3 linked regions of the Mytilus edulis genome follow. The protein of the gene in region 1 purifies or fractionates together with the protein of each later gene. This does not show direct contact. Links are inferred from orthologs where the notes say so. Each region holds a gene or a part of one and is shown on either strand. Other genes may lie near its edges.

Region 1 (3,763 bases):
TTCTGACAATGTACGCACACAAATACCCCCGAAATCGGTCTTAAATGCAGTTTAATCTTATCAAAATAGATGTAAGGTGTGTTTATTATTAATGTTCTGAATCACAAATCCGACAAGCTTTCATTTAAACCATTACAACTGAAATTTCCATTAGAAATGAAAAAAATTAGCATGGGTGTACTGAAAATTCGACATTTTTTTTTAAATGATGCGAGATTTCCTCACGGGAGAAAGGAAGAAAGACCATTCACAATATGCCTTACATTTGTTTTTTTTCCTCTTTTAATTAAATTTAAACTTTCTAATTTAGAGTTTATTAGATACAAATATTCCCTGTGTAGGAACCCCCCCCCCCCCTCTTTCCTCCCTTTTTTCTTAGTTACCATCACTGAGATCCAAATTATTGACAGTCAGCTATATATATAGTTCCCAAATGTATCAAAATCACAGTACTCGATTTTTCGGTACTGACATGATTTATAACGCAATTGTCTTTAAAATAATTGTCTGTTGATGAATTTAGAAAGTATCAAAAACTAAGGTTCACGATACACTTCCCGGCAAATGTGACCGGCGGCTGTATCTAGATAGATTTGGAGTAACCGTTTAGATCCCTTTTGTCAAATATATGCAGCTCGTTACATATTCAAGAACTTAAGCTATAAATATTTTGATTTCACCTTTTTCGATCATTGAACGTTTATGTTGAAGGAATAACCGAATGGACTGAATATATATATATATACCGTCTTAGATAAGGTTTTTCAGAAAGCTAATGCTTGTTATGTGATCCGGTATCAGTATAAAATTCGGGATACAGAAGAATTTTTTTATCATTATTTGTTATTTTAAGAAAATTATTGCTAATAACACAAAAAAACATCAAATTTCAAATAATTTACGAATTTTTATAGTTTTATTTGAATAGAAAAAAGTTTGTTTAGATTTGTTTACGCTTTTTAACAAGTCCCACAATGCATTGCTGAAATATTTTTCAAAATGGAGCACATAGTTGAATTTCCTATGAAATAGCATCACAGTATCCAGGGAAACAACATCTTTCTTGTATGATTGTATACGATCAGCCTCAAAAACTTTAAAGATCTACATATGAGTCTACATTTTCACTGGTTTTTATAATTTTAAATCCGCCGAATCTGATCAAAATATTGTGTAAACATGTCGCAAAAAAAAGGGGGGACGAAATTCTTCGTTACATGTTAGCATTTGCAAAATTTTCTCGATTAAATTTTTGTAGGCTTTTGATAACAAATGTTTTCAACAACAGAATGGGCATGGTACAAAAGACAGAACGATCTTTAGTACTTTACAAGTGGAACAAGATACATTTTGAATGACAAAAGTTTATTTTTTCCATTTTCTACCATTTTTGGAGTGGTAAAAAAAAACAATGAGACAACACTCCATCCAAGTAGCAATTAATAAAAGTAAACCATTATAGGTCAAGGTACTTAGGGTTCTCACTTAGGATTTTTTTTAAGTCCAGGGACTCGTCATTTTTGGCCATGGTCACAAAACAATGATCATCAGTCAGAGCACTCAGGCAGAGCTCAGACATAAACAAGTCGATTTTTGTTTTTGACTTAAAGAAGTTGAAACATGTATTTATTATAAAAATGTGTTTTCAATTTTAGACTTATCTTAGTCAGAAAATGACAGACTTGTTTAGGTCTATTTATTGTGATTAAAAAACTTAACTATAATTTTACTTGGTGGCCAAAGTACACCACCTGTGACAGCAAAAACCCGTCTGAGAGTTCTCAAGGACTTGAGCTATCTATATTTAATTATCTAATTGAACATCCTTACTAAACACAGATGTTTTACCGCATTAAGTGTGGTTCCAGGTGGTTGCATTGTATGGTTAATTAACATTATCTCCGATTTTTTAGACTCTCATTCATATTTTTCTTTAGAAGACAAAGCATTGTCTTTTAATGTTGTCATTATTTGATTTCGATGCATGACCTTTTTATAAATATGCGTGGGTCTTGAAGTTAACCAATTTTGATAACTTATCGACTTGTCAATGCTTGTAGGAGTCGATATTTGCAACTTTTTGATTCTGGTCAATTATTTCTTGCTTAACAATATTGACTTATTAAGGTCGTATTTTGTCTTGCATTAAAGGGAGAAAAATCCTAAAACTAAAAAATTTAGACCTCTATGAGTCAAAAGCAGATTCAGACTTATTTATGTCTGAGCTCTGACTGATGGTGAGTTCAACCGTCAGAAGAAAATATTTTACTAAAATTTAATTTATCATTTTAGTCTCCATGACCTGATAGTGCAATGAAACTTTTGCTATAAAATGATGATATATGTGTTCAGTTTATACAAAATATATCAATTTTGCTGCTTCTTTGGACTTGTGTTTGAAAATGGTGATACCGTATGGCCTTCATCACGAATTCTAGACAGTTCGGCACCCAGACAAATCGGTACCCGGACAAATCGGCACCTACCAAAGACAAATCGGCACCCGTGAAAGACAAATCGGCACCCAGACAAATCGGCACTTAGACAAATCGGCACCTCACATAGACAAATCGGCACCTTATAAATTATTTATCTTTGATCTATATATAGTGAACCAAAAATTATGTTTGAGTGTTATTTATTTGTCTCCTGCACTATTTATAACATTATTGTCAATATTGGACATTGTTTCTTTGAATATGTATCTTATTAAGTGGTTTATTCCTTTTAGTTATTTGTTCGGCACCCAGACAAATCTTTGAATATGTATCTTATTAAGTGGTATATTCCTTTTAGTTATTTGTTTGTGCACAGGACTGTACTGCAGCTTAGTCGTTTTGATAGGTGTATTATTTGTGTGAATTCTTTTTTCTGACTTTATAGATTTCACCACACATGTACTTGGAATGTGCATGTACTAGTTTTAATGTAATCCATAATTCTGTTACCATTGTATCCAAAATCAATAAAACACATGTAGAATATTAATAATATTTATTTATTATATCTATTATATATTATATTCAACAGTTTATGCATACATGTAATAAATGTAATAAATAATAAATAATAATAAATAATAATAAATAAGCTGTATTTAGAGTCTGCAAAGTATATTTTTAACCGACAAACAAAACATTTTTAACAATACAACACATAATACACAGCACAAAATGAAGCACTAAAAGCATGGTTCATGGTTGTAATAAACATGATAAACTAGGTCAAAAGCATACTATAGGTATGAACACAAAGGTTAAATACTGAAATCATAACATAACATATAGACAAGCACTATAAGTCTTAACACTCAAAGTCACTTTGGTGGTGGTCCGTAAACACTGGCACACTCCTTAAGGAGTCTAGACGCGGAGATGCTGTTGTTGCAATACTCGTCCCACAAAGCAAAAAGACGGCCCTGGGTCTGTCTACTCTGTTTGCGCTGGTACCTTTGGAGCTTGCCTTCAGACACTAACTTAAGCACCCGGATATATAAACGTGTATATTCTAATTTCATGCGTGAGAGAGACGATAACAACTAAGGCAATAAAACATAATCAATTACAAAAGAACAATACAAAAAAGGCATCTAGCTGTTGTTTCGGTCTTTTGAAAAAAAGTTATACAGCTGTCCGCTTACAAATCTTATTGAGCGTTCTTGATGGAATCAATTTCATTAATATGTATAGATAACAAACATACCTCTTTCTTTATCATGACAGCTATCACAGACCCTGGTTCTGCTGGGTGGACATGCTCTTTC
Region 2 (3,763 bases), on another chromosome or scaffold:
CTTTTACGAGGATTATCTTCACCCCATCCAGACACTCTTGAGGGCTTCGGCGGCTCATCCTGAAATATTAACAGATCTTTAAAATGGATAAGATTATTCTTTTTTGGTAGCATATATATACAATAATTGTTTCTGAACTTGTGCTAAATATTAAAACACTTACATGACTTAAAGAAATCTACAAATGTATCTTGTTTCCTAAATTTGTATATAAAACCATTCAAGAGAGTAGAAAGTATCTTTGACTTGTAAAATAATGATGATATTCAAATTATATATTCTTACTAAATTCAGGTTGCTTATAATTATGGCATGTTATAACAAGAATATGTGCCCATAGGACACTATGCACAGCTGGAGTGGCAATATCAGACAGGCACACACTTTTTTTAGATTAAGGTGTTACATGTCAACATCATTTTCAATATTTCATACATAGTAATTTGATTCAAATACAAATCTGGAGTCAATTTTTGACTTTTGATGATTTGTTAGTACTTGATTTTACCTTCTGTTTTGATAATCATTAAATCTACCAATGTTATTCACGATATAATATGTTTAAATATGTAACATGAGTGTCAGCTGAGCTTTGTCATATACATATATTAGTAGTAAAACATGAACACAGGATCTTCATTTCAATGTGACTGATAGTTATATAAATCCTTATTTTATATATGTAAATTCATTAATGTTTTGTTTTGGGGTAATTCATGTATAAAATGTGACATTTTTTTCTTTTAATGTCAAAATGTTGTCTGACTATAAAGAAAACCTACAGGTTCTTGTCTTCCAGCCGGCTGTCTTGACTTTGGTGCCTTTGGTGAGTTTTCTACGCTAGCTTCAAAATCAGGAGCATCTGGTGGATTTGCTGTTTTCTGTTGGGCTCTTCTCCCTGTTTTAGCAGTACCCTATAATCAAAATAAAATGATAAGACACATACATGACAGTAGTAATGGGGGTACCTTCATGATAAATAGTGGTAAAAGTTCTTTGGTGCATGACGATAAAATGTACACTTTTTTTGTAGACAAAATAAAAATCAACTAATTTTGACTTACAAATGTATCACATTCATTTTTTCCAAAATTGACACAAAAGATTATTATTTTTAACCTCTAACAAATTTTGATAGGGAAATTTTGACAAGTCAAGGTAAAACTTTAACCAATTTGATGCTAACGGTAGCTGCAAATGGTTGTTTGACGCCTGGCATTTCTAACGTGACGGTACCCAAATTGCACCTATTTTGACAGTTTTTTCACCTACGTTGTTTTATGATCAAGAAAAAAATGTCCATACTGGGTTTATTTTGTAGCCTTATCCTTCTTTATTGTATAGGTACACCATTTTGATTTTTAATCCATATTGAGTCATAAAAAAATGGGTTTGAATCAACCTCCAAACTATCCATGATTCTGTAATGAGGAGTACCCAAATTGCATCCATGCTTAAATTCACATCGTCAAAAGTCTAATAACCGAGCTTTTGTTTAATTTCTTCAAATATTTTGAACAATTGGATATTCGTCCATGCTTACTCCTCATATTTTACGAAATGGATACTTATAATATATTGTATTTGCTAATTTTAAAAAGATGACGTTTTGATGACGTCGCATGGTGACGTTTTCGTACATTTTGCTTTTTCAGTAAACAGTCCATCTGTTGATAAAGACTGTGAACGTTTTGTGTATATCTAAATATGTTTACCTATGTTGAAAGACGTGCATAGTATCGAATCATAAAAATACAAATTGTTTAGTCTCTAGGAAATCTTGTAAGATTTCCGTTGCAATTTTTTCTAAATAGGTGCAATTTGGGTACTCGGTGCAATTTGGGTACCCTTTCGTTACCCTCTATAGCTACATTGTAATAAAAAGGGGGCAAGGAGTATCTTGGTTTCTAACCTTCCCCCTTTCCTACTTTTTTTCCCTCTCCCTACTCTCAATTCCTTCTACTTTTACCTAAAGCCAAAATTCTAACTAAAAAAAACCTCACAGAAATGTATCAAACATGTCAAAGATATTTTTATAAATTCATGATTAGGTTATAATTTTTACGTGTAGGAAACAGTTTTTTTTGACAGGTATAACCTAAATTTACCTTAGCATTCTTTGATTCGCCAAAATCAAAATCATCTGCCATTTCTATCAGTTGTAATTTAAGTGATCAACTGAGCAATTTACAAATATTACTGCTGTCATGGAATGTGTTTATCTAAGGGAGAAAACTTAGGTTGAGAAAAGTAATTTCAAGTCGATGACGGTTTGTCTCCGGAAAATATCTTACTGTGTCATAGATGATAGATATTTATAGTTTACCTTCAATTTAAAATGTGGGAATAATAAACCTGTGTTGTTTGATACATTTGAAGCAAGAACATTAACGATCCCTGTGTTTAACACTTTAGCTGCGCTTTCCATAATAAGGCTATCAATCGTTGTCCTGGAGCATATTTAATCTCCTCATTGTTTCATTCCTTAATATTAATTGTTTCATATAAAGTGTGCACATGTTTAGTACATTTGTTTTAAATGTCATGAATAGTTTTGTTCTTATTTAAGTATGATAACACATGTGATCAATAATATAAGTGTGCTTAGTAGATAAAGTTTAAAGTAACAATATATCAGGTGCTTATATATATATTAATTTATTGCAGCCATAATACAGCCACAATACTCATTGACAAAATATTGGAAAGGGCTTATCATCGGGTAGAACATGGGAATTTCCCTAGGAACTTGTTTATCTAGTATTACAAATGGGTTACAAATGATACTTCTAGATATTCACTCGGGACAAATGTCAATGAAACAAACTGAGTCAATGTAACAAAAGCCTCAGATAGCATACTATGGAAGAATCAGAAATAAAATAAAAAATCACGGGGAAATATTGTTTTACAGAAAAATCTGTTGTTTGTTCATACTATTGACCGCTTTTCGTCATGATAAGTTTACCGTGCTCAAAGTCAATTACGCCTGGTTCTCACACTAAATTAGTTTCAAACAGGCAACAAAAATCCATACCTCACTGTAACATATGATGTATTACTCACATGATAATATTTGATGATGTATAAAGATATCGCTGGTTATTCAAATTGTCCAGTTTATCTAGAACCGTTTGCCTCTTCTGATCTCACTAAGTACTCGGCGATTATTTGTTCAAATGTCTCCTGTGATAGATTATAAGAGATACTTTAACCATACAAAAATGTGAATAAAAATGTGAATAAAAGTATGAATTAAGATGAAAATAAAGATATGATTAAATCCAGGATCCTCAACTATTAATTCTCTAAAATTACGGTAACATTAAGATTCGCGTAGTGGAATAGACATTTCTCAATTGTGGAAGACGAAATTTTGCCTTTTCACTTTGTGTTAGTTTCAGTTTAAACATATTTTAGATTGTTTAAAAATGACAATTTTACAAATGTGTTAGTGTTTGGTCTCAGTTACTTATATCCTCATTTTTATCCCATATAACACACATGTAATATATTATTAATGTTCTTCATTTGAAGTATCAATTCTACTCTTTTTTTTTGATTTTTTTTTGTTTCAATTCTTATTCTTCATTCATCTTCAGAAGTTTACAATGTTAAGACTATATATACTTAAAAACTGCAAATCACTTTGCATGTGATTAATCATTTAATTCTTTTATAATCTCAATCCACTTCAGGAAATGCTCATGCAGCGGTGTTAGACATCATCATCGATCAGTGTGCCATTTCAGATCCTGCATGA
Region 3 (3,763 bases), on another chromosome or scaffold:
GTCAGTGAACAAACTCAGGATGTGCTAAGTATCGTAGACTGGTTCGAAAGACGCAAAACTGAAAGTCCACAATTTCAATTCTGAATCTAATGTTGACAATTGAATTAAAAAAATGCACGATGAGACATGAAGTTATTTGATCCTACACATCATCAGCTGGCTGCAGAATTCCATAACGAAAAATTTATTTTTTCACAAATCTAATTGTGAATTTTCAGCGTTGGATAATGGCCAATTACATGAGCAAGCACATGTTGTTATCAAAGGTGATTGTGGTGCCATTGATGTGTCACTTGGTTAATGTTTCTCAGTATGAATCGGCATCTGAAGCCACGAGTGCCAATGAAAGTACCAGACATCACGAACAGGCAGAACACACACAACATTTCATCGATAAATTACAGAAGCTGTATACTGTTATGAAAGATATGGGCAATCTATAAATGGGAGAGACTGATGACCTTTTTACACTAGGTACATAACAAAATGTGTTGCCAACTTAACTATGCGGTATGGGCTTTGTTCATTGTTGAAGGCCGCACGGTGACCTATAGTTGTTAATTTTTGCCAGACTGACATACATAATAAAATGTTTTAACATACCAAATATAGTTGACCGATTTCATATATAATTAGAAGAAAAAAAACATGAGAAACTGGGAAATGGTTGTGTGCAGTAGAAAATTTATGGGTATGAGATTAACTTAAGTTGGGTCGACTGTATGAGAAGGATATATGACAGAAGGAAACTATGTCAATATATATAATGGAATTTGATGCGACTGTTATACAAGTGAGAGTCAAGTTAAGCTAGCTATAAAACCAGGTTCAATCCCCCATTTTCTACATAAGAAAATGCCTGTACCCTGAAGTCGGGAATATGACAGTTGTTTTGAATTCGATTGATATGTTTGAGCTTTCTATTTTGCCATTTGATATAAGATAAGATAGATAAGATATATTTTATTTCCAATTAAGAGCCCACAAGGGGCATTTAGAGAATACAAGTATAAGGAAAAAGAACATTGATTAGCATAGATACATCATATAATTTACATACCATGACAATCACGATACAATTAGACTGTAAATAATAAAACCCTTGGTCTATAATATATAAATATATTTATATGAGAAATTAATACATCTAACATCATATTGACTTGAATAAATTTTCCAACCGAGCATTAAGAATGATCACAGCTTAAATACATAAATATTTTTTTGCTGATATAATAATTGTTCTTGTAATCCTCGAGAAATCGTGGTACCGTCAACCCTCTATAATATAAACTTGTTTGATAGATTTAACGATGCCGCCGCCGGATCACTATCCTTATATAGAGCTTTCTACTGCTTGACAACGATTATAAATTTCGGAGGTGTACCTTATATGGAGGAAGTTATACAAATATCACGAGTTATCTACCGTAATGGGATTCTCCAATCTAAGAAAGCACAAAACGACCCGCATTCCACAGCGGTCTGTATCCAGTGGTGAATATGTATACAAATCTTTGAAAAATATCAACTACAAGCTATCACAATGAAGGTAACTATCTAAACAGTTTGATGTACTTTAATGGTCAAGCACCAATGAAAATAAAATATTTATATATACCCAAAAGTCGACACTGAAAGAGGTCAAAACAAAAGAGCATTTTGACTTTTTTTGCCATTTTGGTATAATTTTTTCATTTTTGTGTCTGGATAAATTTTATGATTTTCCGATTTCATAATTCTTATCAAGGTATGAAAATGTTTAAATATGCCAACCCTCCCCTTACCATTGACAATACATATATGGCTCTTGTGTAAGGTTTGTCAATTTTATTTAAAATCTGATATCTGATGGGAAAGCAAACTGGGATCAGATTAAAACAGACATAAATATGATAACAAAGGACATCCATAATCATATACACGATATGCCAATAGATAAAACCTGGCAAACCTTCAAGAACGGTGTACAAGCAACAATTGACACCAACGTACCATCTAAAATGATAAAGAAAAAGCACTCTGTCCCATGGTTAAACAGAAAACTGCGCAAAATGCTAAAACGGAAAGCTAGGTTGCACAAACATGCTAGAAAAACTGGAAGTTACAAAGAATATAAACAATTCCAAAAAGACTGCAAACGCCAATTTAGAAAAGCAGAATGGAACTATATTAATGACATCATCAATGCAGGTTTTGAAAAGAATAGTTCTAAACCATTCTGGAACTACATGAAAGCAAAGAAACAAGATAATATAGGAGTAGCACCACTAAAGTCAAATGGAGGCCTTACAAACGACAGCAAAGAAAAGGCAGAAATTCTAAACAACCAATTCAAATCAGTATTCACTAAATTAGATCCGAACTCACAAATACCACCACTAAAGAAAAGATCAACTTCAAATATTTCAAAATTGGACATAACATCAGAAGGAGTACATAAATTATTGAAAAACGTAAATCCATCCAAAGCAATGGGACCAGACGGAATACCAAACACTGTCCTTAAAACATGTGCAGAAGAACTCGCACCAAGTATATCCGCCATCTTTCAAAAATCAATTGACACAGGCACTCTCCCTGAAGATTGGTTAAGTGCAAACATAGCTCCAGTATTTAAGAAGGGGGACGTCCAGGCAGCTGAAAATTACAGACCAGTCTCACTGACCTGTGTATCATGTAAGCTTTTGGAACACATCATCTGTAAACACATCCTTAAACATCTGGAAAAGCACAAAATACTGACAAATTTAAATCATGGATTCAGATCAGGTTACTCTTGTACAACACAGCTCTTAGTCACAACAGAAGACCTACTAAAGAGCTTCGACAGTGGCATTCAACTTGATATGGCTATACTCGACTTTTCAAAGGCTTTTGATACTGTGCCACATAACAAACTTCTGGCAAAACTAAACAGCTTCGGAATAGATGGAAATCTGAACAAATGGTTAGCAGCATTTCTGCAAAAACGATCAATGCGGGTTGTCGTAGAAGGTGAGCACTCAGAATATGCCCACGTAGACTCTGGCGTACCACAAGGCACAGTACTAGGACCGCTGCTTTTTCTATGCCACATCAACGACCTCCCGGAAAGCGTAAAATCTCAAGTTCGTTTATTTGCAGATGACTGCCTACTTTATCGAGAGATCAAAAACACAAAAGACCACCAAACTCTCCAAGAAGATCTAAAAGCTCTGGAAGTATGGGCACTAAATTGGGGAATGAAATTCAACGCAAAAAAATGCTATATAATGAGCTTCAAACAAAAATCAACACACTTCTACCAACTAGACAACCACATACTAGAACAGGTACAAACTAATCCTTACCTAGGTCTTAACATATCTGATGACCTAAAATGGACCAGCCACATAGGGAAAACAACAAGCAAGGCAAGCTGTACACTGGGGTTCCTGAGAAGAAACTTACGCCAGTGCCCCCAAGAGTGCAAAAAACTTGCCTACTTAGCCATGGTTAGATCCGTACTAGAATACGGTGCTGTCATCTGGGACCCATTCACCATCAGGGAAATAGAAAAAATAGAAAGCATACAGAAAAGAGGAGCACGATTCATTCTGCACGACTATAAATCCAGAGACACCGGATGCGTCACAAATATGCTTTCTAAGCTAAAACTGCCACCTCTCCAAGAGCGAAGGAAACATCAGAGGCTGACTATGTTCTACAAAGTGGTTGAGGGATTGGTGCCGGCTATTGATCCAACAGATTATCTACAAAAGACAAGAAATAAACGCCAAGT

Evidence for each region.
Region 2: the proteins of intraflagellar transport protein 140 homolog (region 1) and intraflagellar transport protein 43 homolog A-like purify together in Homo sapiens (affinity purification with mass spectrometry; 3 studies listed by BioGRID and IntAct, counting the BioPlex papers as one, with this or other methods). This does not show direct contact. The link is inferred for Mytilus edulis from reciprocal best matches to the Homo sapiens genes IFT140 and IFT43.
Region 3: the proteins of intraflagellar transport protein 140 homolog (region 1) and WD repeat-containing protein 19-like purify together in Homo sapiens (co-immunoprecipitation; 3 studies listed by BioGRID and IntAct, with this or other methods). This does not show direct contact. The link is inferred for Mytilus edulis from reciprocal best matches to the Homo sapiens genes IFT140 and WDR19.

What each region holds. Positions count from the first base shown.
Region 1 is NC_092352.1:66,730,503-66,734,265, forward strand, and holds the start of intraflagellar transport protein 140 homolog, read left to right. Parts: upstream 1-971; 5' UTR 972-1,065; intron 1,066-3,316; coding exon of another isoform or gene 3,317-3,538; intron 3,539-3,702; coding exon of another isoform or gene 3,703-3,763. Other genes in the region: uncharacterized protein, read right to left, coding at 3,317-3,538, 3,703-3,763. UniProt on the Homo sapiens protein: Component of the IFT complex A (IFT-A), a complex required for retrograde ciliary transport and entry into cilia of G protein-coupled receptors (GPCRs).
Region 2 is NC_092346.1:63,096,652-63,100,414, forward strand, and holds the start of intraflagellar transport protein 43 homolog A-like, read right to left. Parts: upstream 2,483-3,763; 5' UTR 2,429-2,482; coding exon 2,327-2,428; intron 2,256-2,326; exon of another isoform or gene 2,151-2,255; coding exon of another isoform or gene 2,109-2,150; intron 915-2,108; coding exon 783-914; intron 60-782; coding exon 1-59. UniProt on the Homo sapiens protein: As a component of IFT complex A (IFT-A), a complex required for retrograde ciliary transport and entry into cilia of G protein-coupled receptors (GPCRs), it is involved in ciliogenesis.
Region 3 is NC_092351.1:26,545,070-26,548,832, forward strand, and holds the start of WD repeat-containing protein 19-like, read left to right. Parts: upstream 1-1,435; 5' UTR 1,436-1,546; coding exon 1,547-1,552; intron 1,553-3,763. UniProt on the Homo sapiens protein: As component of the IFT complex A (IFT-A), a complex required for retrograde ciliary transport and entry into cilia of G protein-coupled receptors (GPCRs), it is involved in cilia function and/or assembly.